Linked DNA regions of Caenorhabditis elegans. The protein of the gene in region 3 interacts with the protein of the main gene of each other region in a pairwise test. Each region holds a gene or a part of one and is shown on either strand. Other genes may lie near its edges.

Region 1 (9,342 bases), on a different chromosome or scaffold from region 3:
CACGAAAACGACGCGCAAGTTTTGGTAGTTCGCGAGTCGCGGTATGCACATTGTGCCAAATTCGTTACGCCCACATTTTGAATAATGAGAAGAGCTCACTGATGAACAAGTCGTAAATAAACTGTACCTTTGAAATGGAACAAAAATTGAATCTGAGTTTTTGAATTAAGTTCAAGCCTCGTAAATTTTCTCCAAAAGTGGAAAATTGCATACTTTTTCCTATATATTGTATAGTTTTACAATCAACCACCGTTTTAAGATAAAATCTTGGCGAAAATTCAGCTTTTCTCACTATATACCAAGTGTTCTTTCAAGCTACCATCACTCCCTGGTGTATCTGAAAATTGAACATCAGCAGCTCCGTGGGCTCTCTATAGCCAAATAATCAAATCCCCGCCATCTCCTGCTTTTGCTTTTTTCCGTTTTTACTCTACTCCTTCTGACCCCCTCTCGTTTTTTTCTATTTTTCTTGTTATCTTGTTTCTTGATTTTTTTTGAATTTTGCCCCGTTCGTTCCGCGTTGGACAATTTCTCGTTTTTGTTCCGTATTATCCGTCTATTTTTTCTGAATATTGATGGCACGTGGCATGTCAGGTAAGGGTGATGGTAATGGAATAGACAATGTGGGTTTAATGTTTAAAGCTAGGATTAGGCCATACCTAATCCAAGAATAACATTTTCACATGTCTATCCCTTAAAATAAAAAAGGAAGTCTAGGATCAGGTTTCAGAAAAGGTAAGAATCAATTGGATCAGCGTGAAAAGTGGTGTTTGATGGCTTTTTTCGTTTTGGAGATTGGGAAAAAGGGTCGTATTTCTGAATGAATTTTTGATGAGTTAGTTTTTTTCCTCTCTCGGAAAACTTTAAAACTCGAAAAAAAGAATGAAACACCAGATTATTTTAAATTTCAAATGGTTTTTTTTCAAGAACTTCTCTATATTTTTCCATATATTCAACTTTCCATTAAAGACGATTGAGCTAGGCCTACCACGCAGATATTAAAAGTTAATCTTGAACGGAAGACGATTAGAGATTCAGATGACACTTGGGGAAATGATGATGACTGCTTCATCTTCTATCCCTTCGTATCTTCAAAGTGAGAAAACAATTTTTCATTCTGCAAAAACAATCTCTTTTGGCGATTGAATTTTTAAAAAAAATGACGCTATGCTAATTTTTATTCCTAGATTTATTTTTCTAAGATGTTCCAGTGTGTTAAACATTTTTAAAGAAAAGTTTTGCAAGGAAACCATTTTGAGATTTAGAACACCTTTCTTCAAATGTTCCAAAATTTGTACGGAAGAACGAACGCTTTTACTCTATCAAGTTTATGTATGTATACTTTTCACTAACAAATCAGTAATAAAAATTAAAAATTATTGATTTATTGATTTTTAAATTGAAATCAATCGTTGTTATGGAATTTTTCACACCTGGGCTATTTCAAATTCTAAGTTATTACAAGCTAACACACTGTGGCTTTCTCGACATGAGCAAATTGGAAAAGTTCAAATCCACCAGAATTGATGAATATTTCATTTAAAGCTTTTTATCAATGCTCAAATGTTTTTTCCGCTCGAATAAATCTAACAAAAAATGACGATGATGAGATGGTGAGATGAAACAAAACGTTTTTCTTTTTGGTTCTCTTTTTTCCTTTTAAAAGATTATATTAAAGATATATTATAGCTATATCCAACTCATAAAACAATTTTGTTGTACAAAACTTTTATTTTCAATTTTCCGATCAAAAAATTTATCCATAAATAGTGAACAAGTGAAAAACAATTTTCAATTATTTTTCAGCTGTTTGATTTGTGTATTTTATGTGCAGTCGCATTTTATCGATCATCATTGTCCGTCCAAAGTTATTCAAAATATTTTTTGAAAAATTAAATCGCATTTTCAAAAGGTTTCTGAGATGCAAATGATTTCAGATTGTAAGTTTTCATCAAGTGATTAGAAATTTTAAACTCCCGTTTTGAAATTTTGATTTCATTATGGCTTCAAATTTCCTTTCAAAATATCAAACCCTTCTCATCTGCTATGTTATAATGATTTGTTTTTTAGTTAGAGAAATGGTACAATTTGATATTTGTTAATATGTAAACATTTACGTCAACATGTCAAAGCGTTATTGTAACTTTCGAGAAATACGAGAAAATTGTTTCAGTTTGAGAAAATTCGATGCAAAATGCTCGAAAATGTCGATAAGTGTGCTGGGTTTTTTTAGAATTTAGAATATGAAATATTCAGACACAAAATTTCTGAGAGAATCTTCATCTTAACCGTTTGATGCATTACGACCATCCATTTAAAAACTTTTTGATAATTTTTGTGACTGATCCTTTTACAGATTTTCTTCTTCAAATATAAAAATTTCAGAACTAATTTTCGATATTTAAAACATGCTGGAAACTATCTAATTTCCTAGAAAACATCTTGATAATTAAAAATATCTTTTTCTGGAACACAACCCTTGAAAATGGGTTCTTCGTATGATTTTAAAACCTCATCGGAACACAGAATTTGATATGAATTCCCATAGCAAGTCTGTTTTGAAGCATTGAGTGGCATCTAGGTCTAGAAATTGGAATGGAGAGCACTAGAGCGTGAGAACCGTCCACATACACAAACACATATAAACGTCCTCCTATTGTCCATTTCTGAAACCCAATTGGTGAAAAAGTAAGAGAGAGAGAGGGACACCAAAAGAGAAATTGTGGTGAAGGGAAGAGTGGTGGTAGTGGGTGCAACTATCTCTGGGTTCTCCGAGAATTCAGTGCTCCGTGCTCCTCTAGCTTGGCTCCGCGACGTCTTCTGCTACTCCGTCCTCAATTTTTGCGAAGGGGGGAGTGGCGAATAGGGGGTAGAGAGCGGGAGCAGAAGAAGAAGAAAGCACAAGCTCATCCAGTCGCCGTCTCCACACTCTCCGTTATACTTATTCCGGTTCTCTGCGTCTATTAGTTTGAATCACTATCTCACTGGTTTCTTTAGTATATACTCCAAAAAATGCTACTTTTTCGCGCATTTTGCGTTCGTTTCTTTTTTTGGACTTTCTTAATCAACTTTTTTTGTGGTTTGATCAAGATTTTTTCGTTTAGGTTTGGAATTTTAGACAAAAATTATATTAAAGAGTTTACAGCTTTTTTGTCCATAAGAAGTTCATGTTGAAGTTTTGTTTTTTTATTGTAAAAATAATGTAGCACCAGTCAGGATTTTGTCAAAATCAAAAATAAAAGTGCTTAAATGAGACCCTAAAAAATTGTTTCAGATTTTTCAAATGTTCAGTCAAAATGATGTTATACTGCCAAAATTTAATTTTGCAAACTCTTTAATTTTTTTGACTGGTAACAAAAATTTCGTTTTTTTAATTTCGTTTTTTTTTTTTTTTTTTTGAAAAAATTTTCACTATGTTCCACTTTTGAATGTTAAAATCACTGAGTTACTAACACATTCTTGAAATTTTCTCATTTAAAGAATAAAAACAACTTTGACAAGAGAAAGAAGTAAAACAATATAGTTTTTCTAAACTTGTATTTACTTTTTAACCCAGTTTTTCGTATTTCATAGTAAAAAAAGTATAGAAAAAAGTGATGCATTTTTCATTATAATGCAGAAGGCACCTCGAGGCTATACGCATTTTCTTAGCAAAAAAAGGAGCTCATTTTTTCTGTATTTTATGACTTTTCATCATGTCATGCATATAATTTTTTATTCATTGTTATGTAGGAATTGAGAGTTTTGTTTTTAATTTAATTTTTATATAAAATTAAGGGGCTTTGAACACGTTCTATCTATAACTTTCTTTGAACAAAAACTACAAAACACAAATTTCAAAGATCTCTGGATCTGTCTGATTAGGCTGTTAGTTCTTTTGAACTTACTTACTTCTGCTTAATCCAATTATTTGTACCACTCATCACTGACCTTCAGTTTAACTTTTGTCTATAGGTTAAACTTGATCTCAAGCTTTAACTCTGCACCAGGAACTTGAACCTAAACCTGATCTCTAATTGATTCGCTAAAACCTTAAAATTCTGAAAATCCTGATCCAAAAACTCTCCAGGAGACCAAGTTGTTCTCGGCATTGGAACAACTGGTCGGCGGCGCGTACCCATCTGGGGAGGCCGCTTCCTCTTCAACCATCGCCCAAGAATATGCCACGTTTCAACAATCAGAAGGGATGGATGACGTTGGAGATTACAATGATGATCAACTTTCAGATGGCATGAGCATGAGGTTGCTCTGCATTACCAGTGAGTTGTTATTTGTGTTCTTCTTGCCGTCTCGAGAATACATATATACGAGACCATCGACACTCAGTTATGGACGAGATGTTAACATTGATTGTTTCAGTTAAAAAAGCACGACTTCAAGGAGCTGTCGGTGAGTATTTCTATTGATTTTATAACTTAAAATATATAGTTCAGTTTTCATTTAAAATAATTTATTTCGTTTGAAAAATACTGGAAATTCCCTGAAACTTGAAGTAGATAATGTAACAAATATTCTGAGAGTTCTGCCAATTTTTTGAAAAAAATCTGAAAATGTAACAGTGTGCCAGTACTGTTACAATTAGTCTCGATGACCATAGAACCAAAAGATGCTCCTGCTCCAAATACTTTTAAAAAATCATAGTCAGAGCTAACTGAAAATCAAGTGGCTCTTCCACTTTATGAATCATCACTTTATCTCAACAAAAAACTATTAACTTGCCAGATGTCTGAAATGTGGATCTGACTTTTTTTAAATGAAATGTCCACCTCCTTTGGGTGAAAGACTAAAAAATCTGAATAAATCCCTTTCTGCAAATCGAGAAACGATCATGCGTGGCGTTGCTCCGATTTGTAGTTGTCGCCTGAGAAATTCATCATTCGTGACACCTGTCATTCCAGTTTCACGGGGCGACCTCCCGAATAATAAATCTCATCGTGAAACGCGCGTTTTCATGCTTCGATGACACACGAAATAATGCACAACTTATACCTCAACATCACGTACAAGATGTGCTTAGTATTCTGAATGTATGTGTATGCACCCGCCTCTTCTATTTTCCCATCCCTTTTTTTTGGCAAATTTTAATCAAATTTTGGGACCTTTTTAGAGTAAGATAAGAGAAAAGAGTCGTTGAAGAGGCAGGAAAAGTTTAACTACATTCGTGAGCAAGTGAGTAAGTAAAAAGTAAGAAACCGGAAAAAAGTTGCCAGGAAATTAAACATAGAAGCACCGGGGGCACCTCTAAACAAGAGAGTAAGTCACTGGGGAAAACGTTTGAAATGGAATGACGAATGAATGAGGGCACCGGAGACGAAACAAGATACGGTGGACTGGAAGCTTAAAGACCAAGAAAAATGAAATGAAACTTAAACTTTGTTATTTATCATGTACGTTAAGCTCAAGAAAAAATTATGGAATTAAAATTTTAAAAAATTATTAAAAATTAAGCGAAACATATATTTCCAATGCTTTTGAAATAATTTTTGATATTTCATTTAATTTTGAGAATATAGAACAAATGTTTTCGTTTTTTTAAGTATTAGTAGTAAAGAATGTGTCTGAAGTTACACATATAGTTCGAAAAACCCCACATTCTAAACGTAAGTTGACAAAATCCCGCTAAAAGTACCCCATCTTTAAAGCATATAGTAAGAGCATATAGTAATAGTAAGAATACAACCAGCTTGTTCAAAAAATTTAACAAATCGTTCAATGTTTAGTAGCTTTTTACATTTACTATAAATCTCATGAGAAAGAACTTTAAAGATTCTTGATCTTTCACTCAAGTTTGAGCCAGAAATTGAGTTATAATTCACGTTGTTCTCTTTTTTTTTTTCTTTTCAACTAAAAAAAATATAGCTTCTTTTTTTATTGTTCCCCTGGGTACAAAAGTTTAACTGAGCGTCCCAGTAATTTTCATGAGAGCATATTTATAGTTAACGTGTTACATTCTAACTCTTGTTTTAGGACCCAATTGTTTTCAACTGTCCCATTTTTAGGATTAGCCAATAAGTTGTCCAGCAGTAAAAAAATTTTGAAGTTGCGATTTTATTTAGGATTGGAGAGATTTTGCAGATTTATAATCTTCTCTAGATTTTTTCAAATTTCTTTTTGGAAATGAAATCTCAACAACTTTTCACCTTCGTTTTACCAAAGTCTTATCAAGTTTTGATTTTTAAAATTTTGATTATCAAAACTTGGATTGAGTTGAAATTTTCTATAAATTTTAAAGAGGTTTTGTACAAGCATTAACGTTTCGCGCCCTCCCTATCATTAGAGCATGTTTTTTTTCAGTTTTTAAATTTTTGAAAAACAATTTAAATGCCTGATCTCAGATGAATTCAACTCGTACGTGACGGTGAAGCTGCAGACTGTAAAATCAACAACTGTGGCTGTGCGTGGCAACTTACCATGCTGGGAGCAGGAATTCATTTTGTAAGTTGTCATTGACAGGTGAAATACGGTAAAGGAGACCGATTTTTGTAAATGTTATAAAAAAAGAACAGCTGAAAATAGTAATATTTGATATTATGGAAGGAAAAATACCATTATGCGTAAATTGGTGTTATTTTGCCTCCTTTTTTTAGTTTTGGAACGTTTTACTTGTTTTTTTTTCATTACACTTACAATTATTTTATTAAAATAACAACAATTATATTTGAAAACCAATTAATCAAACATTAAGGTTTCAGCTAAACCACATCACCTCATATTTAATTAATTATTTCAGTGAAACAAATCGACCTGACGACGGAATGGTACTCGAATTATGGGCCAAAGGCGTTTTATGGGACAAATTAATAGGTGTTCATTATATGCCACTTTCGGAGATTAGATACAGGTAAAATTTTTTTTTAATTTCCAGTCGTCAGTTAAAATCACTCTAAAACCAATACTAAAATGGCAACATACTTTAATACAATTTTACGAAAAAATATGAACGTTTCTTATTTACAATGGAAAAGTGCAATTATTCAGTTTTCGCCACCTATAATTGTCGTAATTGAGCGGAAGTGGTTTCTAACTTTTAAAATTAATGTATCAGTTTTCTAAAAATACCCCATTGATTTTCAGCAATGCAGCAGGTTCGGGTCAATGGCTTCAAATGGATCATGAACTTGAAACAAGAAATGGTCAAACTGTAGGAACACGTGGTCCAACAGGTCATAACTTGTTGACTGATGTTCGATTTGAGCTTCCTTTTGGTGAGTGGTTGTTATTCAGAATTATAATTTCTTATAGTATGGATTTTTGTTGATATTCCCCTCCTCTGTGATTAAATCTTAATTATTTTATGCTATTATATATTCTTATATATTTCTAAATATATATATTCTAAAAGCCTGATCATGCTACTTGCTGAAGCACATTGAGCTAATTGCTGTTCATAATCAATTTACAATTTAACTTAATTAATTGCATTCAGAAACACCTAATCTAAACCAATTCAAAATTATCTTGATATTGTTCAAAACTGAACAAACTATTCAGAAGTTAGCGGTAACAAGCTCAAAATAAAAATTATCAGATTCTCCTGTATTTGCTGATAAATTCACAGTTGAAGTAATCCTTATCTTTAACGCTGAAAAATATTAGATAATATTTTACTGTTGAAAAAGTTTTGGAAAAACCAACGACAATTAAGATAAGAGTTGTCAATGTAAAGCAAATGGATGCAAGACTAAAATACGAGATTCCATCAGATTGATCCGTTGTTATTGATCATGCAACACGATAGACACACAATCTGTTACAGTTTTTTAGAATTTTATGAACATTTTCCAATATTCTAGTGAAACCTAATTGTTACCATAAGATTTCTGACATGCATTTTTAACCTAAAAATGTTACTGTCAAATTCCAAAACGTTCTTTCCCATAAAATTTTTGGAATATCTTTTTCTAAAACGCTTACAATTTTTTCTCTTTTCTTCTTTCTTTCAAAAACTGTTTCCTTCTATTTTTCCATTCACATCGTATCGGTTTCTTGACACGTCTTCTTCTCTCTTTATATTCCACGTTCCATCCGTTGTTTCTCCTCTGAACAATTCCAAGTGTACCTCATACATCAAAAACGTCGAGCACTTTAGGCTTCTTCGTCTCCATGATTCACCTGAGCCTTTCTAGTTCTCTTTTCGAAGCTCCGTGTTTCCTATACATTTTTTGAACCATTTTGCGAACAAAATTTGAAATAAAATAGAGAAGCAAATTATCAAAAAATTATAATGGTATCTTTTTTTCCTTTTCTTCCCTTATGACTCTTCATTAGTCAAGTGTGACATTGAAATTTCATTACAGCATGATAACTGACAAAATTATTTTTTGCATTTATTCTAACAATTTGATTTTTTGACTGGAATTTTTTAGATATGTCAGGTGGTTTAGTACTAGACATGTTTTGCAGCCAAAATTTTATGAGGATGACTCTAAAACTTCTGAAGCAGCTCGGAACCAAGTTCCCAGTGTAACCTTGATTATTCTTTGCATTTTCTAATTTTTTTTTTGCAAATCACTGTTTCAGTTTACATACTAATATTTGTTATTTTTTACTCTAAACGATATCCATGTCTCAAAGTTTTGTTTTGTTTTGTTGAAATCTCCATTCATTTGTTCAAAAATAGTTCAGTCGTTTCCAGTCAGTTACCGAAAGAAATCTGAACAAAAAAATCAAAATTTCTGAAAATTTGGAATAGCCGTTTTAGTCTTCATTTCTCGAAAAGAAATGTGAGAGAGTATCTGACAACGCTTCCCATGAGGGAATACTCTTGATACTTTGCACAAATTCGCCGCTCAAGAGCTCCGATGACAAAGAAGAAGAGGAAGAAAATGCAGATCACACAAGCAGCCACTTGTCTCTAAATCCCACTCAGATTCAGATAATTTTCAATTTTTAAAACTTTTAACTTCAAAGAACTTCTACTCAGAAGATGTCTACATTTTGAAATTTCCCGAGCTTCAATTGTTTTTTTTTCGAGTTTTGGTGATGCAGCTCAATTTAGTAAAAATACGATAATACCAAAAACTCCGTAAAACCTCGTTTTTGCTTCATTCCAATATTTTTGAGAAATAAAAATGCAACGGTGGTAAAATAACAGAGAATAAGGTGAATGTATTCAGATTTAGCTCGGCGATAAATCTTTCACAAAGCCCCCGGCCAAGACACTAATTACGAGCCGACTGACTCTGCTCCCCGTTTTTCGCTTTTCGATTTGCTCACAAATAATGCACGGCGGTTCTGGAGCTAGCTTCCAACGGTATCACGGAGTTCACTTTTTTTTGTTTTGGAAATCATGATGGTAGTTTTTCTTTTTAATAGGTTAAATCATAAGTTTGCTTGTTGCTT
Region 2 (9,533 bases), on a different chromosome or scaffold from region 3:
CACTCTCTTGAACGTAAAAAGTCGGTCGCTTCAAGACCAGGTACCGTATAACACGGTTATTTGTCGATTTATATTTTAAAAAATTTCGAATAACAAATTTCTTTTTTAAAAACTTCTATTACAACAATGCTCTAGGTAAGTTAGCAACTAAAATCTGAAATCTATGTGCACTGACAAAAAAGTGTTATTTCATGCTTTTACTGCTACAAAAAAGAAACTAAAGAAATTCACTGTGTGCAAGTGCAAATATCTATTAGTGTTGAGAATTCCAGCAGCAAATAATCAACTAAATATATCGCGATCTTTCTAAATATTTCTGAACAAAAGGATAGAGACATAGACGAAACGCAAAGAACAGACAAAATAATTGCACTATATACCCGAGTGGAACGCCGCAGTTTTTGCTGCTGCTGAAGAAAAGGACAAAAGTTAGATGGGAATGAGAGTGGGAGTAGGAGATGAAGGATAATCAGAATTTATGGATTACTATAGCTTATCGAGAGAGCAGCTACAGTAATCCTTAGTTGAGCTATGAGCATTTTTATTTATAATCTCTTAAGAACGGCAAGAACAGAGAATTCATTGTTTCAAAAATTTGAAATTTTCGCTTTATTACAAAAGTTGAAAAAATTTCATTTTCGATTTTACTTAGAAAAATTAACTTTTTTCAAAAATGCACTTCGATTTCAAAAGGTGGATTTTTTTAAGTGTCCGTAATATTTAAATCAAGAAAAAATTTATAACTTTTTTCTCTAAAAGATTTGAAAAAAAAACGAATTTTTTTTCTCACAAAAAAACACGGAAATTCGAATTTTCAAAAACGATTGAAACAAGAATGTGAGATAAAAATTTTTTTAAGTTAATTTGAATTTAAATTTTTTAAAAAACGTACTATCCGGATTGCTGACAAGGGCCTGTGCACTTCGAAGTTTAATATCAGCATCTGATGATTGAATTGATGATGGAAATGGTGAACGCATTGAAGAATACATTGAATCAACTGATTCCATCGTTCGATCCGTCATCATTGAGCCAGTGAAATCGCATGACTAAAAACGAGAAATAATACATGTAATCGCTTGTGGTGTTAAGGGCTTAACAAGGGGGTATTTGTTTTTGTGTTTTTTCTGCTTCTCGTTTCAAATAAATGAATAGATTTTCGAAATTTGACAGAAAGTAAAACACTTTTAGACATTTAAATGAAACTTATCTTATTCAAAATAGGAGACTACAAAAAAATTTGCGGCAGAGGAGCACCTTTAACTAGAAAAATAATGATCTGAAATTACTTTCAGTGCATTTTTTCACTAGTGGCCCGTGAAATTGCTCCAAATATAGATTAGTGCAAACTTTGATGAGTTTAGGGTGATTAGAAGTAGACAAACAATTTGGAAGCTTTTTAAAGGAAACGATTTTTGAAAAAAAAAATCCAAAAAGATTTCAAAATGTTTGTCTACCTCCAATCACCCTAAAAATCATTAAAAGTTTGCAAAAATCAATTTTTGAAGCAATTTCACGGGCCGCTAGTGCAAAAATTGCACTGAAAGTAATTTCAGATTGACTATTTTTTTAGTTCAAAGTTCTCCCTTTTCTGCTAAAGTCACCTATTTCCAAAGTCTTTTTTTAAAACATTTTTTCTAAAAGTGAGACTTTAAAAATATAATGACCTGTAACATTTCATCAATTTCTTCGATAACTTGATCAGCAGTCTGTGGAGGTGTTTCACCACCAGTATCCGTAGATCCATGATGATGTCCAATCATTTGATGAACATCCATTTGTTGTCGTAAAAGATCCTCATCATCGGAATTTGTCATACTTCGGCGTGTAGATGCGTCGTCTTTCTGGAAAAAAGTACAAACGAGAATTTATTTGCAAATGGGAAAATTTAGGGAAAGAGCAGGGAATCCAGTGAAATCAGTGAACCGGAAGACAAACAAAGGTCAACTAGAGGAATGTCTAGGTTTTGACTTTTTTCAGATTTTCAAAAAAAAAAACAGGGCTAGAAAGTAAACTTGTTTTTTTTTATAATTTGTAAGAGTTAAGAGAAAAATGATTTCATAAAAAAATTAGTGTATTCCGCGAGGAGAAGGCTTTTCAAGTTTTTGACTTAAAAATGGCATTCTGAAGCATTTCCGTTGTTCAACCTGCCAATCTATTTTATAAAAACAGTTTTCAGATAAAAAATCTGAAAAAATGCATTCACCATTGAAAAGTAACAAAATCTCGTTTTAACTAGTTTTCAGCGGTAAGTTCCTGAATTTTCAGTGGAAAAATTATAAATAAAAGATAAATTGGTGATTTAATTGCCAAATACAAAAATAAATAGCGAAAAAATGTTCAAACCCCAGAATACTATCCAAGATTATAACAGCTTTCCTCGGGGAGTACACTTGGGTTTTTTGATAATTCGAAAAAAAAGTAGGATTTTCGGAGAATAGCTTAAAATTTTTCCCATTTTTAATAGTAAATTTTTTTAAAGTTTATTCTCGTCAGCCACATTGAAACTGTTTCGATGACGCTTTTGCTTCTGAAGAAAACAACAAACATTTTCTTTAAACAAATTGGTTTGTTAATTTTTTTCCCCAAAATATGAATGTAAAAAATTAAAATTTTTTAATTTAAAACTTAAAAACTCTGAAATAAGTCAATTCCGCATTCCAAACATGATGGAAATTGGAATCCCGTGATCTTTCAGAAAATGATTACGGTAGTCGCATATTTCAAATAATGACAACCGGGAAATTGAAAACTGCCCAAAAAAAAAGAAGAAGGGGTGGTATTTAATGGACACCGCTCTCCACATAGTAAGAGTTTTCTGAGCATCGGCTCTCGACGCCTTCTTCTTATTCTCTCTGTCTCTCTGACTCCTCCGGTGAGTGCTATAAATCGATTGTAGAGAACAGAGAGAAAGAAGAAGAAGAAGAAGTGTTGATGCTCAAGTGGAAGGAGCTGGAGACGATGAGCGTGAGAGATGAGCATAGTGGAAAAGATAGATGGAAAAACAAGAAGAACGTTGATGGTGGAAGAAGGCAATAGTAAAAACAGAAAAGGAAGACAAAGTGAATAACAAAAAGATCCGGGGACCCTCTGCTCACCAATGAATCACTGTCCAGAGCTGCGGCCATCTTTTTACATATCGAAGAGGTTCCAAAGTCGAGAGGTTGAATGTTTCCAAAGTTTCCGGTTAATGTCCACCATGTTCTGCAATTTTAGAAATTTCTTAATTTTTGGAAAAACTCAAAAACAAATTTTTTATGTTTTACTACTAATTTTTAAAAAAAAATCCAAAATGCTCGTTTTCACTATATTTCGAATTTTTTTGAATTCTTAAAAAAATAGTTGAGAGTTTTGGCCATTTTTCTTATTTTTAGAAGAAAATAATATGTTTTCTGTGTTTATAGGCACTCTATGTAATAATGACTATAACTTTATGTGTCGATTTACGCAGCTCGTGAAGTCCACGACGAGGAGGGTTTTACTGCTGTTTCGAAAAAACTTTTGAATTCAAATTTTCGAGCCGTTTCTGATTTATAGCGTTTTCGGGAAAAGGATCTAAATTTACTTCAACTATGGAGATTTTTTGTTATACCTCACTCGCCACGCGGATAACGAATTACTGTAGCTTGAGTTGAAAAAAAGTGAATTTTAATCTAAATAAGAATTTTAAAAAAACCTGACGATTGACAGAAGTGACAGTAATTACTTATCCGCGGGGCGAGACCTTTGCTACGAAAATTGTCATTTGAAGTTGGAAAGCGAGAAAATTAACAATTTGAATGATAAATACAAAAAGAACTTGCGAAAATAGTCAAAAACTAAGAATATTATCCAAAAACTGTAAAATTGTCCTAGTTGCGGATTACACGAACTGCGTAAATCGACACATGGCTTTTTTTCGGGCTAGTTTTTTTTAATTCGTTCCAAAGTAGAAATTATTTCAAAATTGCTCCATTTTTCACTAATTTTTATGAAAAAAGGCTATAAATTAGTTTACTTTTTAATTTAAAAAATTGGATTTAACTACAATTTTTTGGTGCTATTCTGAACAGAATTATGAATTTTTACGATTTATGGAACTTTAACAAAATAATTTTAGATCCCAAATTTTAATTTTTCAACCAATTTTTTTAAATCCACAAATAAAATCCAAAAAACTCACTGGCTTTCATTCATAACTTCCTCTTGAGTACGTATCTGCACAGGTGCAATATCCGCTGTCGTCACCTCGTGGTCCTTCAGGCATGCCGCAATTTTTTCGTCAAAGTTGCCGACAAGGTCCTGAAAATAAAAGAATGTTGAAAAGAGTGTGACAATGCAAGAAGTCCAACCTCAAGGGATCCAGAGAACTCGTCATGAAGACGTTCCTCGTCGCTGTTGCTGTTGCAGTGATGTTTCTCGTCTGATGAATGGCTGAAAGTTACAAGTTTTTTTAATTTTTATCCTTTCATCTATTCATATTATGGATACGCAGAATAGAAAACAATTTTTGAAAGTGAAGTGCAAGCGCGCTCCACCGACAAATCAATATGTCCCGCCCCAAAACGTCGGGTCTCGTTAGGAAATTCAAACGTTTTAAATTATTTTTTAACCGATTTCATCCGTATTCAATGAATTTTTCGACATTGTGTTGCGTTTTTGATTGTTTTTCATGATTCTTATGTCAAAATGATATTTATTAATTCATATGAAGTTGAGAAGTGATAACATATTTTCTATTAAGTGTGAATTATAATTCCATCAATTTCGATATAAAAATATCCTAAACAAGAACATAAAACATAACAAAAAGTCGAAAAATCTAGTTTTACCACTAAATACCTAACGAGACCCAAAGTTTAGAGGCGGGGCACTTAGAGACTTGGCAGCGGAGCGCGCTTACATCTCGATTTCAAAAAGCGTATTTTTCTATATTTTTTCTGCGTCCCCATAATATGTATTTCTTCAGCTTCACCCCATCCTCTTTAGGACCCCCAAATAGTATGAAGATCCGATAATTAGATAATGTGTATCTTTTGGATGTGTATTGGGGTATGTGTGTGTGTGTGTGTGTGTGTGTGGATGGCCGTGAGGGGGTGAGAAGATGAGCTTTTAAGTACCCTCTCCTCTGCTGCTGCTGCTCTACAACACTTGGCTCGTTCAATTGGATTGGGGCCCAGTTTTATTGGCATGTTCGAAATAGAAAAAAGATATAACGAGGCCATCGAACGTATGTCAGAAACACTTAGGGAAGCACTAAAAGAAAATTTCTGCGAATTTTTCTTGTTCTCTAGGAATTCGAAGGACCATAAAGAAGTGCACTGATGTTCTTTCTAGGAATTTACAAAAAAATCTAGTGGGAAGTTATAGTTTTGCGATTTTTTTTTCAATAAATGCCCTCTTAATTTGAATTTTTCAGCTCGATAATAAGCTTTTTTTTCAAAAAAAACCTCTACAACCTATTTATAAATAAGGTGGTTTCCAAATATATATTAAAAAAGTGAATTTAAAATTTTTTAATAGGGATATTCATATTGATACAACATTACAGTATTTCTTAAAGGCCCAGAGCTTAAAAAATTGCTACAGTAACCTAAATATCTGATGAAAAATACTGTGAACCTCTAAAACGGCCATGAGTCGATTTACGCAGCTCGTGTACTCCACGAGGAGAAGTGTGCAATTATATTTTTGACTAAAAATCTGGAATTGAAACTATTTTTTTTAGTTTTCTATATTTTTATCACGTAATTTTTTTTCACCTAAAAACACTGTTTTAAACTTCGGATTTAAAAAAATTAATTGGTATGGTCCGAAATCCTGCTTTCTTGCTAAAAACTGTTAAATCCTTTGCAAAAAAATGTACGCTTTTCCTCGCGGAGTACACGAACTGCGTAAATCTACACATGACCGGAGGATCACAAGCCTTCACGATCATAATTCCAACTTGTGAGGGAGTTTGGAATCTCTAGTATCCAGCAAAATTCAAGATTTTTTTTGCACTCTCCCACCAACAGCTTCAAAAAAAAAACTCACTTGCTCAAATTCTTATTACTATCGATATCATCATCATCACACGAGGCGAGCGGAATGTCCGGTACTCGCAGATCTGCAGCCTCCATTGCCACCTCTCCAAAACGCATCGGTACTTTTAAAGGTTTTGGTGAAGGAAAAACGGATGACACACAAAAGTGTGGAAGAGAAAAGAAGAATGGAAACGACGACGACTTTTTGGGATTGAAATTGGGAGAAAGAAGGAGGAAAAAGGCAAACTGACGACGTTGGAGAGATGCAGAGACAAAGAGAGAGAGATGCTAGAGGGCTCCAGCCGCCAAACTAAATGAATGCTCTATGCCTTTGCTCCAAATGTCGTCGTTGTTTGGGAGAAGAAGAAGTAGAAACAGAGCTGCTGCTGCTCTCTTCTGCAGTAGTCACTATGCGCGCAAAGGCAACTAAAGACGAAAAAGAGACGGATAGAGACGCAGAGACATCAACGGAAAACCGCATATGTATTGGATCCCTCCGGTTGTCTTTCTCTGACCGACTCTCTCAATGAGAGTGAATGAGAGAGAGAGAGAATTAGAGAAAGAGATACAACAAAATGAGTGTACATTTCTTTTGCGGGGCGGGGAGTTTTGGTGGGGTGGAATATAGAGAAAAAGAAAAAAGACCCAACACAGAAATACGAAACCCCTTCTCTCAGCAGCGGCGCCATTCTTTTCAGGACTAAGAAGACTAAGAGAGAGAGAGAGAATGTGAAACAAGTATCCAATTTTTTTCGCCTCACACACACCCACAGATGAGCCGAGAATCGGAGTGATTGATGTGCAAGAATGAAGGAAAAGTGCGGTGACATATTATTGTGTCCACTCCTCTCCGATCTAATCGGTTCGCCGCAAAAATAGATGAATTATTTGTTACGAAATCATTTTTCGTCTAGTTAATATAGGAATGGGGGATCGAAGTGAGATTGAGTTTTGGGTCCAACTTCAGAAGACGTTTCCAATGATTTATATCAGGGTTGGGCGGCAAACGATTTTTTTCAGCCAAATCGGCAAATGTCGAATTTGCCGGAAAAACGGCAACTGCCAAAAATGTTCGGCAAATTGTAGTTTTGCAAATTTTTTCTGAAACTTCAGAATTTCAATTTTAATCCGCAAATTTGTACGCATCCTATGAATGTTCCTAAATTTATTTTGAAAAGGGAGCAAATCCTATGAAAATATCTAGAAAAGACGGGAAAAAATTTCAAAAAGGCACAGTTTTAAGCGTTTCCGGCTTATAAAAAATCCCTATAAAAATTTCCGGCAAACCGGCTTTTCGCCGAATTTTTCGACAAAAAAAATTGCCGAACGGCAATTGTCGCTCTTGATTAATACAACTTTTAATTTAAACGAGGAAATTTTTTAAAAAAATTTTAAATAAAAAGCAGTTTCCAGAAGAGTAAGTGTAAAAGTGACAGAACTTTGGCTTACGCTTACATATTTTGGAAATGTGGAAACCCGAAACCTATTCGTGATACGTTCATTGACAATTAAATAGGTGTGGTTCATTAGAAAAGTAACATGATCAGAAAAAATACGATTATCTCTCCAAAGTCATTAAAAAACTGAGTTTTCGATGTCTAACAAGAAACATACAAATTTGAAGAAAAATGTTGCATCTGGGTCTAAAACTAATTTTATTAGCCCAATTATCTCAAGACATGCGCCCGAAAAAGTTTGACCCCTTGACAAAATTGAAAGTTTGTTTCAGTTTTATGATCGAAATAACTATAAGAAAATGATACGAGAACAGAAAACAGTTGAAAGCTTGCAAATTGCCGAAAAAATACGAGTTTTTTTCTCCAGAAGAATTTGGCCGAGAAAAAGAAGGCGAAACTTTTTTGTTTACGACATAACAATGAGTGATTTATGCCCTTTTTCTGGATGAAAGAAGTTGGTTGGACTATGCAGTCAACGATTATTAGACCTCAAAGGGCTCTTTTTTCTTTGGTTTTCGCACCTGCGAAGTGGTAGTGCTCAATTTTCGAGCAGGGAGAACTATAACAAACAATTTAGTGTATGTTGACTATACCGGCGACTCGACTGGTTAAACTCGTCAAAAGAACAAGGGAGAAATTTTTGGAAAAAAAAGGAAAAAAGAGAGAAATTTTGGCGAGTAACTAGTGCACTTTTCGAAGAGCCGGGCGGGAGAAGAGAGAAAAAGGAAACAAATTCAATTTTAGAGAAATTTGTAAATTTAGTATAAACACGAGTGGAATAGTAAGTAGTATTTACAAGAGGAAGCTAGAAAAAATCTTTAAAGCTTTAAAACAATTCTTTAAAAAAACAAATTTTTAGAGTACGCAAACACCGGCCGGCACGCAACAATGCAGACATTCGCTTACAGTACTCTTCTGGTTTTCCACTAAATTTTCAAGCTAATTTCAAGTATTTAATTGATTTTCAATGAAGTTTTACACAATTATTTTACAATTTTCGAATCAAAATATCATATCTAGGTAAAAATCTTTATTTTACAAAACAATGAAAATCCTAAACCGGCTTCGAAAGGCGATCCGCTTGTAGTTTCCTGGAAAAAAAACGTTTACAGATTAAGTTTAATGCTAAATAACCAGGATACGAACCTAATATAAACAATATTGGCCCCTATTAAAGCCATGACAGTTGCTGCTAAAACGACGAGCATTCGATTTTTCTGCTTTTCCCGGAGGTATTCATCTTCGGGATTTCTGAAAAATAAAGAATTTACTGAAAAATTGTTGCCAGCGAATTAGCTTTAATACCTAAAATGGGAATATACAACTTTTTTCGAATTCCTTTTTGCATCAGGTATCACATCAGCACTCCATTCAGCTCTTTGAATATTCCTCCTCTGAGTTGACATTTCTTGAGTTTTATGCGTCGCCTGGAAATTGGAAAAAATATATAATTCTCAAATCTTTTCTAATAAAATACCTCCATTAAAAAACCGCCTTCTCTACTAAACGCTAAATCGTATTCTTTTCGTTTTTCTTCATTTCTGAGAACATCATACGCCTCCTTCACAAGCATAAATTGTTCGGTTTCAGAAGAACCAGTAGCCCATCCAACTCGCGAATCACTTTTTGAAGATTTTCGAGACTGGTCTGGGTGAAGCTGGAAATGTTTTATTTTTTAAATTTAAATCAGCTTTCTGAAACCTGCTTGGTCTTTTTCAAAAATGCATCTCTAATTTCCTGTCTCGTGGCAGAAGCAGAAACTCCAATTATCTCGTAGTAGTTTTTTCTGATGATGTATGATGCGAATAATCGTTTTTGAATGAATTTTGCCATATACTATTAATGCTGAAATTACCAATGTTCAAAAATTTGTTCAAACCTGATCTGAAAAACGTATGCTGCGGTTTAGAACCATTTAGAATCTTCAAATAAGAATATAATTGTTTTTTTTTAATTCAGTTTTTATTGGATATTCTGTATTTTTAATACATTAAAGCATGCAATAAAAGGGAATCGAAAAAAACAAAAACACAAGAAGTTTTTAAAAATTACACAGGAACGCGACTAAAAA
Region 3 (12,268 bases):
ATGAAAAATCATGTTTTATGGTTGATTTTTGGAACATTTTTTAGATTTTTCGATTTTCATCGAAAAAATCGAAAAATGTGTGCCGGACGCTGAAAATTCAATTTTCGCTTTTACCGAAAAACGAAAATTGTTTTGATTTTGGACCAAAAAACGAAAAAAAAATCGTATTTTTGCTTCGTTTTCCCGATATTTCCATTTAAAAAAAATTGATTTTTCTTAAAGTTTTGGCCAATTTTCTTCTTTTGTAGAAGAAGTTTCTATTATTTCCATCACATTAAACAAAATTTGACTTTAAATTTACAAAATGACGGGGTTCTGGCTTTCCTCATTGAATTTTCGCGCTCCATTTACCATCGCCAGGCCGGACAACGCGTGGAAAAGTTTCGTGTACTCCACACGGACAAATAAATCAGTTTTACAACTAAAAACGAGCCGCGACACACAACGCGCCGTAAATCTACACAAAATCTCTCCGACCCAAAATGGCTAGTTCGGCAAACTCTGCCATTTCGATTTATGAGGGAAGCCAGAATTCCGTGCAAAATTTTATGGTAATTATTTTCGAAATATTGGAAAACGAAAAAATAAGTTATTTTAAATAACATTTTTGATATTTAGATTTATAAAAAATCGAAAAACCGATACCACAAATAATTTAATTTCTTCAAAAACCAAAAAAAAAAGTTTTTTGGTTTTTGTCCGAAAAACCAACGAAAAATCCAAAAATAAATGGGGAATACTCTCGAATGACAATTTCTCGTTTTGAAGTCTGATGGAAAAATGGAAGTCTTCCCCCTCTAGAGTAAACCAAAATCACGTTTTTTTTTGCAATAAAAAATTATTTCAGGAATATCTCCCGATTCATCAATCACAGCTGTGACCCCAGCTCGGTGTTCGTCGAAGTCTACAGTCGACGATTCGAAGAAGATCCACTGATTCCACGTGTTGCAGTATATGCCATCAAGGACATCGCTCTAGGAGAAGAGATAACGATTGCATACTACGAGCCCGGTATCGAGTGGAAACGGTCGAGTGTCAAATGCCGGTGAGCCTTCTATTGCTCAAAATATACTCAATATGATGAAAATTCTCAAAAATGTTCCAAAAAAAAAATTATGACGGTTCAATTTCTCTGAAAAACGGCTAATTTTAGCTAAAATCTCCAATTTCTTTCGTTTCGCAGTGACATGAAATTAACAAACATTCGAATCATAGTAAATCTATTAAATTAAGCAAGCTGTGATTAAAAACTGAATTCCCGCGTCAGTGTTGACAGATTTTCTGTAGAAATCGTATTTTATATTTTTTGATTCAAAAATTCTCAAGAAAAACACCAAAAACACTAAAGTGAAAGCAAAACTTTATTATCGAAATTTAAAATTAAGGTCTCATAGTGACAATCGTTTTGTTATTATCAACAAAATGATTACTCAAGCAAATACTTGTAGTGTTCTCTGGTGCAGTCTGTAACATAGTCTATTCCAATATTTTGGTTGCCGAATGTTCCGACATTGAGCATTGATTGCTGGAAAATTTTTCATGAATTAGATCATTAGGTAATATATTCAATAGAGACTTACCAAGACTTCTGGAATCATCCTCACTAGACTTTTGTTGAACAGTGTGCTTTCCTCGACACGCTTCTGATAAACGAAGAGAGTCAGGTAGTACGAGTGTGGAAGGATCGGAATCTTTCCAGTACAGACAAACGTAAACCGAACGTACTCGATGACGTCAACGTAGAACTGAACGAGTTCGTCCGCCAAACGTTTCGGCTCATCTTTGAGATATCCATTCTCGTCGGCTTCGGGGAAACAGTTTGGGGGTCCGTATTGCTCGGTGGTCACCTTCATTCGAATACATTGTGGGATGAAGTCGAGAAAGCGATCCTCGTAGCTCACAGATTCTGCTTCTTTTTTCAAAAAGTTGTAGCTCTTGATGAAGAAGGTCGGAATTCTCTGGTTAACGGCGTCCTCCTCCCCGTTAACCTCTATATGATTATCGATGAAGCGCTCGCATTCTTCATTAATTTTTCTCGCAAAGACGTGAATGTCCTTCTTCAGTTTGGCAATTTCTCGATCAGATTTCACCTTTGGCTTGGAAGGACTCGACATGGGAGTCGAGTCGGGTGAAGAGCATGGGGAGGTGGTGGAGTCAGTGTTGCACACAGATGACGAGGTTGACATGATGAAGAAAAAAGAAAATGAATGAATGAATATCATGTAGACATAGGCTCACGATTGTCTGAACGCGCCGTTTTTCCGATCGATTTCAGTGGAAACGCGGATATGTAGAGCTAGGCGTATGTGAACTTGGAACGCTGGGAAAATAGGTGACCCTATGCGATGAGAATGGGGTTTGGCTGGTGTTGTGGATAGCATTTAGCAATTTTTTTTTTGAAGACCGGGAAATTCCTATTGCTAAAAAATCTCAAAACCGGCAATTGCCGATATTTCCAATTGCCAGAAATTTTGAAAACCGGAAATTTCAATTCCGGCAATTTGCCGATTTGCCGGAAGTTTTCAACTCCACAATTTGCCGGAAATTTCAATCCCGGTAATTGGCCGATTTGCCGGAAGTTTTCAACTCCGGCAATTTTCCGGTAATTTCAATTCCAGCAGTTTGCCGGAAGTTTTCAATTCCGGCGATTTCGCCGATTTGCCAGAAATTTCAATCCCGGCAATTTGCCGATTTACCGGAAGTTTTCAACTCCGGCAATTTCGCCGATTTATCAGAAATTTCAATCCCGGCAATTTTCCGATATGCCGGAAGTTTTCAACTCCGGCAATTTCGCCGATTTGCCAGAAATTTCAATTCCGGCAATTTGCCAGAAATTTCAATTTCGGCAATTTGCCGATTTACCGGAAGTTTTCAACTCCACAATTTGCCGGTAATTTCAATTCCAGCAGTTTGCCGGAAGTTTTCGATTCCGGCAATTTCGCTGATTTGCCAGAAATTTCAATTCCGGCAATTTGCCAGAAATTTCAATTTCGGCAATTTGCCGATTTACCGGGAATTTCAATTCGATTTACCGGGAATTTCAATTCGAAAGTTTCCAACTCCGGCAATGTTCCGGTAATTTCAATTCCAGCAATTAACCCAAAATTTCAATCCCGGCAATTTTCCAGAAGTTTTCAATTCCGACAATTTCGTCGATTTGCCAGAAATTTCAATTCCGGCAATTTGCCGATTTGCCGAAAAAAATCGTTTGCCGCCCACTCCTGGAGTGAACTGGGATTTTCCTACAAAATATTTTCAAATTATTCTGAAATTCAGAAATATCAACAAACAAAAGAACTACGAAAAAATTTGACGAAGAATTGAAAAAAAAAGTCCAACTTTTTTTTGAAAATAATTTTTCAATTTTGAAATAATGGAATATTTTTTTCGCTATTTCCAGAGAAAATCAGAAAAAAATTGTACGAAAAAATATCTGAATTTGAAAAAAAAATTCTGGAAAGCTGAAAAATAATTTAAAAATTGTAAATTTTCAGGTGCAAATCGACCAAGTGCATGGGAACCCTTCCTGCATTCTGAAAGTTTCTCCCCTATACATCTTCATTCTTAATTCACTGTATGACAATTAACTTTTTAATCTTTTTTTCTGCTTTTTTCCCTGAAGATCTCCCCTTTTCTTCCGACTTTATTCATGTTTCCTCAATTGCACTCATTTCATTAATTTTTTTCATTTTTTTTTCCGCTCGAGTTTGTTATTTTTGCCCATTTTCTCTTTTTTGTAAAGTTTTTCATTTTTCTTTTTGAGATTTGAAAAGAAAATTGAATTTCCTGAAAATATCACTTTTCCCCCCAAACACACTCATTTCATTAACTTTTTTTTCCTTTTTTTTTCTTTTTTACAATTTTTCTGTTCTAAAAAATCATTTTTTGCTCATTTTTGTAAAGTTTCTATCCCCCTCAAACACACTCATTTCATTAACTTTTTTCTTTTTTACAATTTTTCCGTTCTAAACAATCATTTTTCCGCCCGAGTTATTTCAGGAATTTTCGTCCACTACATTTCATTAATTTTCCCTCAAGTCTTTCATTAACTTTTTTTCCCAATTTTCTTGTATTTTTTGCTCAATTTTTTCATTTTGGTTAAGTTTTTCTTTTCGTCGAGATTTGAAAAAATTTATAATACTTTCGCATAAAACAAAATAAAAATAATTAGGCCAGTGATGAGTATGACGCCGGTGACAAGGATGCAAATCTTCTTCTGAAATTTAGCTTTAGTAAGAAAATTGCACAAAAAAAATATCTCAAAGCGATTCAGAAATTCATTATTGTTATTATTATTGATTGATTAATTAATTTTTTGGTTGGTTGGTGGTGAGTGAACAGAAAACACATGAAATGGGTGGCAAAAAAAATTGAAAAAAAAATTAAAATTTCTTACAGTAAGAAATTGGAAGGATCCTAAAGTTTTGAAAATTTGTAGAAAAAACAATTTTTAATAAATATTTAAGCTTCCATTTTGAGATCGATATTATTCTAATTTTAAAAAATAATGAAATAATTTGTAATTTAAATTTAATTTTTATATTAAAAAGAACTATTGCTTGGTCGAAGAGAACGGGGGTGAGATTTACGTGTGAAAAGCGCGCGAAAAGTGGGTCAAAAGGCAGTGGAGATACAAAAACAGGATGTATTGCGAAATAATTAGGCTTTTTTTAAAAGAAAAATAATATTAATTTGTTCGGGAATTCGGGTACTTTTATGATAATAAATCAACAGTGATTTTTGCCCGGTCTCGACACGATAAGTGTTTTTGTTAAACGCGAAAAAGTATGCGCCTTTAAGATTACTGTATTACGGGAACAGAAATTTCTGAGAATGCGTATTCCGCAAAATATTTGACGCGCAAAATATCTCGTAGCGAAAACTACAGTAATCCTTTAAATGACTGTAGTTTGCGCTACGAGATATTTTGCGCGTCAAATATGATGCGCAATACGCATTCTCAGAATTTTGTGTTCCCGTAATAAGTTAAAAATTTTTTTCCTCGAAAAAACAAGTTTTAAACTACAGTAATCTTTAAAGGCGCAGCACATTTCTGTATGGCACGCAACTTTGTCGTGTTGGGACCCGGTACTGTATTTGACTTGCTTCGGCGCAAAAATCCAAGATTCGGTAATATAACCTTGACGCAAGCGCACTCCACGGCTAATTGAGAACGCTCCGCCCTGAAACCATGGGTCTCGTGAGGAAGTTGGCGCGGCAAATTCGAAAATTCAAACATTTTCAATTACTTTCTATTGCTTTTATTGATTTTTAAAAAAATTATTTTGACAGCAAAAATATTTAAAACAACGAAAAACTGGGTGAAAACGTTTGAATTTCCTGATGTTGCCGCGCTAAATACCTAACGAGACCCAATTTATAAAGGCGGGACGTTTGGCCGTGGAGCGGGTTTGCACTTTGATTTTTCAAATAGTATTTTCTCCAAAATAAGTTGATTAATTATGAAAAAAGTACCTGATTGAAAGAAACTAAATAATAAATAAATTAAATATTTTTGATAATAAAAGTTTGCTCTATTTAATCTAATGCTCTAATTACAAAGATATATTTAGCCCTTATTTTCAGAGAAAACAAGCGAATTTGGTTCATTATTGGAGCCGTTTTTGTTGTCATATAGAATTTGAAATTTTGAAATTTTTTTAGCGTGGGCGTTTAGACGGGGAAACAAATGGGCTTAAATGCCAGGAATATACTGAATGAGCCACAGAGAAACGAAGCCGATTAGGATGGTGACGACGATCAAAATGATGATCTTCTTCTGAAAATAATGGACAAATAGGTTAGAGAGAAACATTTATGGTTTACGACAAAAAATACGACGAAAAAAAAAACACATCACAGGACAATATATGACAATCACAATAAAAAATACAATCACAGGAGGTCCACGGTCTGCAAACACGCTCTGCTGAGAACTAACAACAAACTTTCCAAAAAATGCAAGAACACAAAATTCTGAGAATGCGTATTGCACAACATATTTGACGCGCAAAATATAACTACATCTCGTAGCGAAAACTTCTGACTACTGTGGTGTCGATTTACGAGCTCGATTTTAAACTGAAGAGATTTATCGATAGAATACTAATATTAAGCAAAAAAAAGACAGTAGTCATTTAGAGAATTACTGTAGTTTTCACTACGAGATATAGTTATATTTTGCGCGTCAAATATGTTGTGCAATACGCATTCTCAGAATTTTATGCTCCCGTAATACAAAGACTTGAGTGAGAGAGTGAGACAACACAAAGTAAGTTAAAACATAATAAATTAAAGCCCCCATATGAGAAATTGATTTGAAAAATTGAACTCAATTCCCGTCACCAATATTAATATTTTCCCCGAATTTTGAAAGCAAGAGGGTTTAAGAAAAAAAAAATCAATGACAATTTTTCAGCGAACACGAAAACGTTGAGAAGACGTGTTCGATGTGGAGGAGCTTGAGGTTTTTGAGGGTAACACAACAGAAGTTGAAGCATTCGCAACAATAACCCAAATGACGACAGCAATGACGATGACGAGAATAATGACAACAATTAACACAAATATATAGCATTTCATCTGGAACATTACAGATGTACACCACGAATCACTAATACAGTACAATAATCAATTTTTGAATCGATATTTTTTTGAAAAAAAAATGCGGCGGCAACTTGAAAAATGGTAGATCATATCATTATACTTTCTAATATTTCATAAACTTTCAAATTCATAAAAAAATGTTGCGCGTGAGGTATGATGTTTGAATCATTTCCTGCCCGACTTTTGTGCCAAAAATACGGTTCCTACTCACGGCCCGGCAAACTGTATGAGTACGCAATTTGTCTACCGTATACCTGGACGTTTGGGCGCATCTATCTCAAAAACGGGTGGTCCAATATTTTTGTGATGCATAAAAATGTCCGAAAATAGATTCGAATTTTTTTTTGGACCAAAAGCTTTTTTCGTTATCACGCGCCCAAACCTGGCTACACTCAAATTATCAGTAGAGCGCATTTGCATGGATGTACCACTTGCTTACCGGGCCGTGTTGGTCTTGACACGACAATTTTTTGTTGAATGCAAAACTGTTGTGCGAAAATAAAAAGTTTCCGAAAAACTATGAAAAGTCGATGAAAATAAAAATACTCTTTAAAGGCACACACCCGTTTGTATTAATAAATTTATAAAAATTCTCGTGTCTGGGAATTTTAGAACCCACATTTTCCCAGCTGCCAGACACATTTTCTATCAATTTTGATGAATAAAAAACTCAATATAGGTATATCCATGCAAAATAGAGTTACAATATTAAATTTTTCCAAAAACGTAAAAAACGAACCCTTCGCGCCTTCGACTGATATTGAACGGCTTTCTTCGTATCAGCTACTGCTCGATCAACAAATTCTTTCGCGTGCTCCACATTGTACTCAATTCGATCAACCATCTCTCCCTGGAAAAGCTCAGGATTTTTCTTTAATTATTTGAATTTCCTCCAAGCTGAGAATTACACGACCAATCAGGCGGGGTGGGCGGACTCGAAGACGCTGATTGGTTGGAAAGTACCTCTTCTATTTTACCTTAGACTAGACATTAAGAAATTTGTTAGAAAAAACCTATATTTTTTTTTGAAAATTCAACTTGTAATATCAAAAATTCCACAAACCTGAGATTCGACAAGCATAGCCATATCCATGAACATGTCGTGAAGCTCTCGAATTGAACTTTCCAATTTCATGATATCATTGTGACGAGCTTCAATATCGGCTAGCGTTTGTTTTGCCTAAAAAAATTATTTAACATTTTTTGGGTTTTTTTCCAGAATTTTTCTTGGAGAATTGGAAGGACGCCTCCCCGCGCTCAAGGTTAAGCGTAAGCGTAAGCTTACGCTTAAGTCTAAGCTTAAGCCTCAGACTAAGCCTAAGCCTAAGCCTGAGCCTAAGCTTAAGCCAAAAAAAAAAACGAATTTGGAATAACTTTTGTTAATATTTTCAATTTTTTGTTTCAAATTTTAAATTAGAAAAAAACAAACCTGTTGGGTATCTGTGATGATTCCTTGTGTAAATACTCCCGGATTTCCGCTCTCAATCATTTCCTCCAAATCCTCATCTCCGACTTGTTTTCCAGCTGAAAAAATATGTAATGGATTATTAGAATTTTGTGTGAATTTTTTTAAAAACTGATCCAAAATTTAGTGGCACAGAATGTCAGGAAAAATTTTGTCCTGCCCCAGTTAGGCCTACACGTCTGCCTGCCTACCTGCCTACGATACTTATAATTCGACTAGTCGGTGTGCCTGACAAAAATTTTTTTGAAGCGTCCGATGTTCTCTGGGTTCGTCTTGCGCTATGACAGGTATACATATATGTCGTAGGCGTAAGCCGCCTTGTAGGCAGGTAGCAGACATTGGGAGCACCATGATTCAGGTGTGCTCCAAAATTCTAGATTTTTTTACTTTAACAACTTTTGCTTCGCAAAATTTCCATAAAAATGTTTTAAAAAAAGCTCACCAATATCGAGTTGTCTCTGAATTCGTCCCTTACACCTCTCTCGATAATCAGTCTGTGTCTTATTATAATCAGTCATCACTTCGACGAATCGTCTCGATAATGTGCTGTGTTGAGTTTTTCGAATTCGAAGATCCGCATTTCCGGCTCCTTGCTCGTCGTGATCAATGGCATTTTCGATCAATTTCAGTTTGCCGCGCACTTTATTCGCAGCTCTTTTGATAACTGCCATCAACTCGTCGAGTTCTTCTTTGGTTTCTGAAATTGTGGCATATTTTTGGGGGTCTCAAAAAGTACAATATTTTGAACCTTGTTTTATCCATTCAACAATTTTTTAAAAAATTTATTTTCGAAATTTTTTTAACGAAACTGTTTTAAAAAAATTCAATCTAACTTTGTTTATTTTACTGAGAAAACACGCACAAAATTTTTCCTGAAAGAAAAAAAAGAGTCACAATTCAAAGCTAGTTTCCGAAAAAATCGAAACAATGAAAATTTTCTTTTTTTTAACTTTTTAAAATTGTTTTCCAGATCTTTTCTTGGAGAATTTAAAACGAAGCCTCGCCGAGCCTAAGCCTAAGCCTAACTCTAAAAGCCTAAGCCTTGGCCTGAGCCTAAGCCTAGTCCTAAACCTGAGCCTAAGCGTAAGCCTAACCTTGAGCCTAAGCCTAAGCCTAAGGCCAAGCCTAAAAAAATAATTTTTTAAAGAAAAAAAAAAGCCAACATTTACAGGTATTTTTTCGAAAGATCTGGAAAACGAAAATTTTCGATATTTTTATTTTTCTGAAAAATCAATTTTCTAAAAGTTCAGTTTTTTAAAACATACTCTGATCGTTAACTGGATTTGATAAAATTGCCGAATGCTTCTTCTTGACCTCTTCAACATTATTCGCAATAATATCCACACTTCCACGAATCTCTTCAACCTGCAAAAAAAATTCAACTAAAGTGTTTCCATTTTCATCAACCCCAAACATTTTTATTTCCACAGAGAGCTCCTAGAACAAAATTCCATAGAATCTATATATCTCTATGAATTGAAAAAAAGGTCGCCGTCGGTTGCGCAAAAACTATGAATATTCAATCGCCCCCTCATGGGAAACAGAGACACCCGAAATGACACATATATAAAAATCGAGGCAAATTGACAAAAGAGAGCAACAAAAAAAAAGATTGCGAAATATGGGGGGGACGTCACTGAAATACATCACAAAATTGAGTTTCATTTTTTCTTGTTTCTCAACTATTTGAACAGCTTGTGTGATTGGTCATAGAATTTGCGAACATTTTGGAATTTGTTTTGTTTTTCAAACTAGTAGAATTTTTTGAAAATTTGAGAAGTTCAAAATCCATTTCTAAAATATTTACAGTTTGGAAATCGCTTTGAGAATGCGTATTGCACAACATATCACGCATATATGACGCAACATATGACGCGCAAAATATCTCGTAACGAAAACTACAGTAATTCTTTAAATGATTACTGTAGCGCTGGTGTCGATTTACGTGCGCTATTTTCTTTAGTTTCACAAGTAAAAATTTTTTTAATGTTTCATCGATAAATTTCGAAACCGAGCCCGTAAATCTACACCAGTGCTACAGTAGTCTTTTAAAGACTTACTGTAGCCTTCGCTACGAGATATTTTGAGCGTCAAATATGTTGCTCAATACGCATTCTCAGAATGTTGTGTTCTCGTTATATAATAGTTCAAAATTATCAACTATTTTTAAAAATTTTCAGATATTGTGGAATTCAAAAAAAAACATTTCGAGAATTTCTTAACAAAATTCCAATCCAATTAATTGAAATAAAGTTGAAGTTTAAAAAAATCTGAGTTTAAAACATTTTTTTGGCCGACTTCAAATTATTAAAGTGGACTTGAATGAAAAAATTTACATGTATTTTTTCAAAAAGTTGAACCATAATTTTTGTTTATTTCGACACCAATTTTTCCACTACAGTACCTGCTCAAAAAACTCCTCCATATATTGTGCATTCCCGGTGTCCATGTGCATATCATCGTCCTGCTCATCCTCGGACTGCGCCGCTTTTAAAGCGGACAATCTAAAATTTGTGCATCATTATCTTGATTCAAGAATATTGACTCACCTGTCCTTAGTCATGTTGTTGTTCCTGTTGACAGGTCTCGACACGAAAAGTGGTTCCTATTGTTGGACTGTCAAAAAGTCATGTGAATGGAAAGAGACAAGAAAGAGATTTTGATGGAAAGTCTGGAAAAGGAAAAATGAGAATTTAAAAATCGAATTAAAAGTTTAAAAAGGAGAAATGGGAAAAATATACTTTAAATAGAAATTATCAGATTATTAAAACTTAAAAAAAATTATATAGAATGAAGATTGTTAAAAATTGCACAAAAAGTTCATACTAACAATTTTCAAAAAAAGGGGAATTTTTTTCGAGTGGTCAAAACCTGGTGTTAAAAATTTTGGAAGTCGACCAAAATTAATGTTTTTCTATTATTTTCGTACTTTAGTGTACGTTTTAATTCGGCAATTTACCAAAACTTTGACTGAAATTTTTTTTGAACAAACTAAAATATAGACTAGACTAGGCCTTTTTTGACGATACTACAACTTTAAACAAAAAACATTTATATTCGAAAAATGTACATTTGATGACCAAATTTCATATTATAGTAAAAAATTCGAAAAATTATAGTAAAAAATTCGAAAAAAATCTAAATTTTTTGATTTATTGGGAATTTGAAGATTACCAGTTTTTGCCACTTATCTGGAAGTTGTCGATATAAAAAGTGTTCCTTCGAATTTTATGATTTACTTATGTTTCAAATATAAATGGTCGGCAGTGCTATTTTCTAAAATAAAAGTGGCAAAAAGTCAGTAATTGCCACTTTTTGGCTGACAATAAAAATGCTCAAAATTTTTTTGAAAAGTTTAACTATGGCATTTGAACATGACAGTGTTGTAGTTTTTTTCAAAAAGTGGAAAAAAGTTTTGAAAAGTCAAAAAAAAAAATTAATTAGATTACCCGTATTTCCTTTTGCACTTTACGTTAAAATTTTATATTTTTGGTTACATATTTCAAATATATCAATTAATGTATAACAACAAAACAATAGAGAAAGAGATGACAAATATTTTCTCAGTTGACAATTTTTTGTACAGGACAGAGGGTAACTGAAGTAAGTTTCAAGTCTAAAAAAAGAAATAAAAACGTGGTTACTTGTATATAAACTGAAAAGATAATAGGGCAGAATAGAGAATTCAAAGAAAAAAAAAGGAAAAGAGCAAAAAATAAGTGAGGCGGAGGGGAGTGGACGCGGGGGGAGCAGCACCGAATAGAAGGCGTTGTGTGTCTCGGGGAGCCGTTTTAGGAGCAAACTGAGTGACGAGAGAGAGAGAGAGAGAGAGTAGAAGAGATGAGGGGGAAAAGCTCGTCTTCTTCCCGGTGAAAGAGAGAGAGAGAGAGAGAGAGAGACCACATCTGTTCGATATATATGGGAAAAGCACGAGAGAGAGAAAAGGAAGAGCCAAAACGATGAAAGGAGAGGCGACGAGACAGTTAGACGTCTCACACACACACACACTCTCTCTCCATTTTCATGCTTTTGCGTGTCAAGGGGCGGGACTCTTTACCCCTATTTTTTTTCGCGGGTTTTCTCTGCGACTCTTTTTTTTATCCCACCATTTTTTAAGGAGTGAGACGGAGCAGAGAGGTGAATGATTTGGTGGGATTAGGGATCTGATCAGGGCAGTGGGGGAAGTTGTTAAAAACG

What was found.
Region 1: the proteins of unc-64 (region 3) and unc-13 interact in a two-hybrid assay, tested with the Caenorhabditis elegans proteins (2 studies listed by BioGRID).
Region 2: the proteins of unc-64 (region 3) and unc-76 interact in a protein complementation assay, tested with the Caenorhabditis elegans proteins (one study listed by BioGRID).

The regions. Positions count from the first base shown.
Region 1 is NC_003279.8:7,418,599-7,427,940, forward strand, and holds the start of unc-13 (Phorbol ester/diacylglycerol-binding protein unc-13), read left to right. Parts: upstream 1-4,186; coding exon 4,187-4,259; intron 4,260-4,359; coding exon 4,360-4,389; intron 4,390-6,335; coding exon 6,336-6,435; intron 6,436-6,730; coding exon 6,731-6,841; intron 6,842-7,074; coding exon 7,075-7,205; intron 7,206-9,342.
Region 2 is NC_003283.11:15,068,452-15,077,984, reverse strand, and holds the start of unc-76 (UNC-76), read right to left. Parts: upstream 6,226-9,533; 5' UTR 6,102-6,225; coding exon 6,016-6,101; intron 4,414-6,015; coding exon 4,332-4,413; intron 4,282-4,331; coding exon 4,163-4,281; intron 3,205-4,162; coding exon 3,099-3,204; intron 1,845-3,098; coding exon 1,668-1,844; intron 1,050-1,667; coding exon 893-1,049; intron 411-892; coding exon 381-410; intron 1-380. Other genes in the region: dnj-3 (J domain-containing protein), read right to left, coding at 8,517-8,553, 8,609-8,713, 8,768-8,889, 8,940-9,119, 9,164-9,295; C25D7.10 (TPT domain-containing protein), read right to left, coding at 9,511-9,533.
Region 3 is NC_003281.10:13,275,735-13,288,002, reverse strand, and holds unc-64 (Syntaxin-1A homolog), read right to left. Parts: upstream 10,745-12,268; 5' UTR 10,635-10,744; coding exon 10,621-10,634; intron 10,576-10,620; coding exon 10,476-10,575; intron 9,437-10,475; coding exon 9,337-9,436; intron 8,769-9,336; coding exon 8,514-8,768; intron 8,131-8,513; coding exon 8,036-8,130; intron 7,787-8,035; coding exon 7,670-7,786; intron 7,457-7,669; coding exon 7,346-7,456; intron 5,780-7,345; coding exon of another isoform or gene 5,696-5,779; exon of another isoform or gene 5,663-5,695; intron 4,217-5,662; coding exon 4,133-4,216; 3' UTR 4,116-4,132; downstream 1-4,115. Other genes in the region: F56A8.8 (NR LBD domain-containing protein), read right to left, coding at 1,427-1,525, 1,581-2,186; Histone-lysine N-methyltransferase set-25, read left to right, coding at 848-1,045, 3,495-3,537. UniProt on the Caenorhabditis elegans protein: Plays a critical role in several secretory processes, including cuticle secretion and neurotransmitter release, and probably assists in neuronal membrane maturation or the final stages of neuronal differentiation.